Linked DNA regions of Nothobranchius furzeri. The protein of the gene in region 1 binds, or shares a complex with, the protein of each later gene. Links are inferred from orthologs where the notes say so. Each region holds a gene or a part of one and is shown in the gene's direction. Other genes may lie near its edges.

Region 1 (3,826 bases):
TATTCTTACCAGATAAAACCTCTTTTACTTCTACTACTATTTAGTTGACAGTTTATTTTTTCTCGTCGTCGTTGTCATCTTCCTCCGCTTATCCGGGTCCGGGTCGCGGGGGCAGCATCCCAACTAGGGAGCTCCAGACCGTCCTCTCCCCGGCCTTCTCCACCAGCTCCTCCGGCAGGACCCCAAGGTGTTCCCGGACCAGATTGGAGATGTAACCTCTCCAATGTGTCCTGGGTCGACCCGGGGGCCTCCTGCCGGCAGGACATGCCCGAAACACCTCCCCAGGGAGGCGTCCAGGAGGCATCCTGACCAGATGCCCAAACCATCTCAACCGGCTCCTTTCGAGCCCCTCCCGAAAATCCGAGCTCCTCACCCTATCTCTAAGACTGAGCCCGGCCACCCTACGGAGGAAACTCATTTCGGCCGCTTGTATTCGCGATCTCGTTCTTTCGGTCATTACCCAAAGCTCATGACCATAGGTGAGGATTGGGACGTAGATCGACCGGTAAATCGAGAGCCTGGCTTTCTGGCTCAGCTCCCTCTTCACCACGACAGATCGGCTCAGCGTCCGCATCACTGCAGACGCCGAACCACTCCACCTGTCGATCTTATTTTTTCTGTTTTTGAAATGTGTTTAAAATTTAAATGGCAAAATAATCAAGTCTGTCATTTAGACATTGTGTTTGTCTGTGTCAGCTGGGTGAATTATTATTTTTTTCTGCTTCGGTTTGATTTAAAAAGCTTCTTTTATTTTGTTACCAGCCGGAGGGTCAGCTCGGCGAAGCAACGAAGCAGAAGCAAAGAAAGAGAGCAAGGATGGAGGTGATGGGGAGGAGGAAGCTGAAGAGAAGGTGATCTTTGTTCACTATGAGCAGAGGAAGGTGATGCTGTCGCAGCTTCATCCCATAGCGAATGAAAACCCAGAGAACAAAAGTGAACCCTCGACTGAGCTGAGGGAGGTACGAGACAACGTTTCCTCACCGCTCAGAACTACCTTCATTGTTTAGAACTACAGAATGATTATCTGTTAAATAAAAAATGCTAAATCTGCATTTTTCCTTTCTTTCTCCTCCTTTGTAGATGTTTCAGACGGTGGCGCACAGTCAGCCGCTCTTCTTCCTCGACAAATACGACGACGGGCTGCTGAAGTCGACTCACTGGCAGTCTGAAGGCAGAGAGGCCAGCATCATCGTGGAGCTGATGAAACAGGCCTCAGTGCCTCTCTGCATTTTCATCAGCTGGCTGCTCTCTGTGTGGACGTGGACCTGCAACATCTGGTGAGAAGAAGTGGTGGCGGGTCCCTCAACGGTTGTTTTATTTATTCTTCTCTAGAGTTTGTCCAAAAGCAACAGAAAGTCCTTTCTGACATCTTTAGATTTTATCTGAGCAGAAATGCAAAATACGCAAATATCATCAGATCATCTCAGAAACTAACATTCATTGTTGTTTAGTCTGCATCTTTATTCTGTTTCTGTCCAGGATCTTCAGTGTTTTCCCGCTTTGCTTCCTGTCCTCTATACTGTCCACTTTTATCCAGCTCAGCTACAGGACAGAGCACATGAGGACGCTCAGTTCGCCTAAATCAGCTGAAGGTCACACCCAGTTCATGAGGTAAACCTCAGAGTCAAACTGCTCAGCAGTAGCTCAACAGGTTGAGCGGGTTGTCCAGTAATCGGAAGGTTGCAGGTTCGATCCCGGCTCCGGACAGAGAATTCTGCTGTTGTGTCCTTGGGCAAGACACTTAACCCACCTTGCCTGCTGGTGGTGGTCGGAGGGACATGTGGCGCCTGTGCTCGACAGCCTCGCCTCTGTCAGTGCGCCCCAGGGCAGCTGTGGCTACATCGTAGCTCATCACCACCAGTGTGTGAATGTGTGTGTGAATGGATGAATGATACACTGTAGTGTAAAGCGCTTTGGAGTCCTTACTCTGAGAGGCGCTATACAAGTGCGGGCCATTTATCATTTATCATCTGTCTTAGAATGAAGCAGAACAGCTGTTATGGGACAACGTAACATTTGGTCAAGTCATCACACACAGTTGATGTTTTTGGACTTCCTGTTTGCCCAGACGTGCTCTCACATCTGTGCATTTCTGTCTGAAGGAAGGCTAACATCCTAGTGTCGGTTCTGGTGGACGTGGCCCTTGGCGTGTTTCTCATGTCGTGGCTCTACAGAGACGATCACATCTCCATGCTGGCCGACGCCCTGGTTCCTGCTGCTGACGTACGTCCGAAATCTGAACCAACAGTGTTTTGTTCTTTTTATCTGCATGATTTTCACACATCAGGTTTGTTCATTAATTGCATTAGTAATTAGTACTAGCTGATGACCAGTGATGTGCAGGAAGAGTAATAGAGAATTAAAGGCCTATCAAATCACAAGATCGTGTGAACTTTTGGAACACGAGTGGAAAATAACTCTCAGCTACTAACGCATAAGATTAGCTCATTATGTGTAAAAGCTGCAGTTCTAGTTATTTATGAGTTAGATCTTATTGATTGGCTGTGACGTCCGTTTTTAATTAGGCCGACTACAAAAGCGAATCCATTGCAGATGACCACCTAATGCATCATTTCTAGGAGGAGCAGCACATGTTTTAGGTGCTGCTTTATTTCTCCTACTCAAGCAAACCACTCATTAAATGTTGACAGAAACACCCGTGAAGTAAGCAGGTGAGACCAAGCAGCACTTATTGAAATCTGATCGTGCTGCACAAACGAAGGATGGACACAGCGAGGACAGAAGTGACAGAGCAAAGTAAAACCTGTTTTTTCTTTTTGTCCTTTTAGTGAGTTGCTGATTCACTAAAATGGAACAAAGTCACTCCAGAGGAAACATGTTCAGGATTTCTAAAACAATAAACATTTTCGTATTCCCAGTCTGCACCCTCTTACTTTTACTTTTTTTACTAATGGGAAATAATGATAATTGAAAAGAAAAGAAATAAATAAACAAGTTTCTGATTTCGGTCCTGATCGATGGACTCCACTTTCTCCTCACTGTCTGATGCGATGGGCATTCCTCAAGGAAGCGGTGCACCGTTTAAGAGGATTTTGATTGAGAGTTTTTAATCTGAATGTATCTGCAGCAGGATTCTAAAGCATCTGACAATGTGTTTGTAAAACTCATCACTTTAAGAGACGATGGATTAGATTAGATGGATGTTAATCATCTATAAATGGTGCAGAAGTCTGTTCTTGAGGGCTGAAGCCTAATTGTCATTTATTCACATCCCTTTGGTAAATTTGGGCCAGAGTTAAATCAAAATACTGCATGTACACACACACACCCTTCCTCATTTTGGTAGTGGGTGTAAACACATAAATACTCCAGGTGGCTCTTCTTCTGCCTCATCAGGAATAAACCCAGTGATGAATCATTTGCAGCAGACCAGATTACTGTAATTTCCGGACTATAGAGCGCACCTCAATATAAGCCGCACCAACAATAAAAACGGTTTTCTACACACACACGCTGCACTCAAACACAAGCTACGGCGCAGCAGCCGCAGGTCTCCAGCGCACAGCGCATGTACGGCCATAACATGAGATAATTAGACAGAAAGACGCTACACGGAGGTTTTTCGTTGTTTTAATTCAACAAAAGGAATTTTAAACACGGGTGAACGTGCCTGCAAGTTTAGAAAAGAAAACAGCGCTGATAGCATTCATATTTCTGGATGGTTATACAATAAAAACAGAGCTGACACGTTATTACCGGTCATTTGCATGTTTAGAAGAAAAGAACAGCGCTGACACAGCATTAATAAGCCCTGGATGATTAGAAAATAAAAACTGCACACAAAACATGCCTGGTTAGTAAATAA
Region 2 (2,779 bases), on another chromosome or scaffold:
CTTGGTCATGTTTAGGAATGTTGTGAGCAGGCTCGTGACAGAAACGTTTCGTTTTGATCGTCATGTGAAACGAGCCGCGTTTAGACCGTCGTTAACGTCCGCCCGAGTCCCGGTGAGGAGTCTGACCGACGCCAAGGACGAAGTGCAGCCGCCTTTCGATTCCTCCCTGCTGGACTTCCTGGTGTGTCCGCTGTCCAAGAAGCCACTCCGGTAACGGCAACAAAGTGTTTCAGAGTTCATCTGTTTTGATTTTAGTTTTTTAACTAGCGGCGTCCTTTCTAACTTCATATAAAAGCATTAAGACGTAGGCACGCGCTTGTCCTGTACCGCGGTGAAGTTAGCTTGTAGTTGGACGTTGGATCTTCGACAGACGTTGGTTCGCCCGGTCAGCGACACTGCAGCTTTTAGCACATTTCGCAAGATCTGATCATTATTTTTAGGATTTAAATAAAAAATGAAGTGATTTCTTTCAAAAGCTGCCAGGTTAATTGATTTTAATACCCAAAACCATTCCTAAATGGTGTTGCTAACTAAGCCAGACCATTGAGACACAGCAGTTTTTAACACCTTTCATACTAACTGATCTTTTTTATTAGGATTTTTATCAAAAATTAAGGGATTTCTTTCACTGGCTTAGTAACATCATTGGGAAATTGTTTTGGGCGTTTACATCAATTAAACAAGGATGTACTATGTTTGAATACATCCTACTTAAGAATTAGTCAAAGCTGCATTAGAGGCAGTGTAAAGGTGAAATCTACCCCCCCCCCCCCCCCACACACACACACACACACACACACACACACACACCGTCGTTGTCTTCCTCCGCTTATCCGGGTCGCGGGGGCAGCAAGAACCTACCCAGCGAGAGCTGAAGGTCAGAGCTGGATGAAGCTAGGAGGACCACATCATCCGCAAAAAGCAGAGACGAGATTCTCCTGCCTCCAAACTCGACACACTCCACACCACGACTGGCTCCGGCCACCTTGCGACCACAGCTAGCAACAGCCGCCTTAACAATCGCAGAGTGGAACAAGGCCCACTCGGAGTCAATGTCCCCCACTGGTCTCGGGACGCGGTCAAAGCTCTGCCGGAGGTGGGAGTTGAAGACCGTCTTGACAGGTTCTTCTGCCAGGCGTTCCCAGCAGACCCTCACTATGCGTTTGGGTCTGCCAGGTCTACGCGACATCTTCCCCTGCCATCTGATCTAACTCCCCACCAGGTGGTGATCAGTTGACAGCTCCGCTCCTCTCTTCACTCTGGTGTCCAAAACACACGGCCGCAGGTCGGATGATACGACTTCAAAGTCTATCATCGACCTGCGACCTAGGCATTCATTATTAGAAATGACTGAACCAACGCATAAAACAGTCTAATCTGTTTTCCAGATAACTGATGTTCTTTTTCTTTCCTCTAGGTATGATGCCAATACCAACGAGCTGATCAATGAGGAGCTTGGCATCGCCTATCCCATCATCGACGGCATCCCCAACATGATCCCCCAGGAGGCCAGACTCCTTCAGAAGGACACAGACGCTTCTAATCCACCTGCACAGTAACAGAAAGTCTATCAAAGACCTTCATTTGCCAGAAAACCGATTGAGCACTGCTATTTTTTTAAAGAAAAAAACTGTAAAGCTAATCTGCTAGAATGCTCTCCTTGTCCGTGATGGTGGGACTGGTCCCCATCGTGTCACTCATTGGCTTGTTCTACTCTGCAGCCGTGGATGAGAACTTCCCTCAAGGCTGCACCAGCGGCAACAGTCTGTGCTTCTACAGCCTGCTGCTGCCGGTCACCATCCCCGTCTACGTCTTCTTCCATCTCTGGAGCTGGATGGGGATCAAGCTCTTCAGACACAACTAGGATGCTCTCTGAAAACAACCCACGGCATGTTTTCTGATGCACTTTTACCTCCTTTACCAACTTCAGTAACATTATTTTCTTTATTTCATGTCTGTTAAAGTCTGCTAGACTTGGGTTTTACTTGTCTGGAAGTTTAGGCTTGCAGGTAGGACTCATAGTAACCGAGTCCGTGTAAACGCTAACTGCTACTGAACAAACTCCTGTTATAAAATGGATAAATGTAACCGATTTAACAACTGAACTTCTTGGATTTTTCCAGTTCTTGCAGAAAAGAATAAACAACTTTATTGGAATAAGTTACTTTTATTTGATAAAAACATTTTCACACAGAACAGCTATTTAATGTCTGTTTTATGAAATGTGAACGTACTTCAGGGAGGAACAATCCAGCAAACATGCCTGTACTTCAAACACAAACTATCATCTTTTCATGCAAAACAAAACAAGTTTTAAAAAAGCTCGAACTTTTAAGCCTTTGACCCAAAATGCTCCGAAACAAACAAGAACAGCTTTCATCGTACGTTCACGTCCTTCCTTAGTGACACTTTTTGCTTTTAGGGTTTCTGCCCTGAGAAAATTTGGTCAGCGGAGACTCCGGCCGAGGCGACTGCCATTCTCCTTTTGTCTTGAAGAAGAAGGGTTTGTTTAGTCTCAGCTGGACCGCTCCGACCTGGGGGGGGGGGGAGGCTCTCTGTTAAACAGTGACACTTGTAAAAAGAACCACAGTCTGATAAAAGCATGAGAGGTTTGTGATACGTAGCATATGATTCAGGGCTGTCCAACTCGGACCCTTTAGATCTACCTATTGGGCCATTCCCATCTGTACCGGGTCGGCCCGGGCCGGGTAGCATAGGTTGTTTACATATCTGGGTGGCCTGGTATTTTTCCGGGCCAACCAAGGCTCATTCTCAGCCC

The links.
Region 2: pigq (region 1) and phosphatidylinositol N-acetylglucosaminyltransferase subunit Y share a complex: the UniProt entries of both Homo sapiens proteins name them as parts of the glycosylphosphatidylinositol-N-acetylglucosaminyltransferase (GPI-GnT) complex. The link is inferred for Nothobranchius furzeri from reciprocal best matches to the Homo sapiens genes PIGQ and PIGY.

Annotation. Positions count from the first base shown.
Region 1 is NC_091745.1:17,743,674-17,747,499, forward strand, and holds part of pigq (phosphatidylinositol N-acetylglucosaminyltransferase subunit Q), read left to right. Parts: intron 1-762; coding exon 763-959; intron 960-1,080; coding exon 1,081-1,277; intron 1,278-1,479; coding exon 1,480-1,611; intron 1,612-2,102; coding exon 2,103-2,223; intron 2,224-3,826. UniProt on the Homo sapiens protein: Part of the glycosylphosphatidylinositol-N-acetylglucosaminyltransferase (GPI-GnT) complex that catalyzes the transfer of N-acetylglucosamine from UDP-N-acetylglucosamine to phosphatidylinositol and participates in the first step of GPI biosynthesis.
Region 2 is NC_091744.1:85,184,290-85,187,068, reverse strand, and holds phosphatidylinositol N-acetylglucosaminyltransferase subunit Y, read left to right. Parts: upstream 1-1,651; coding exon 1,652-1,864; 3' UTR 1,865-2,160; downstream 2,161-2,779. Other genes in the region: pyurf (protein preY, mitochondrial), read left to right, coding at 8-210, 1,418-1,559; triadin, read right to left, coding at 2,400-2,534. UniProt on the Homo sapiens protein: Part of the glycosylphosphatidylinositol-N-acetylglucosaminyltransferase (GPI-GnT) complex that catalyzes the transfer of N-acetylglucosamine from UDP-N-acetylglucosamine to phosphatidylinositol and participates in the first step of GPI biosynthesis.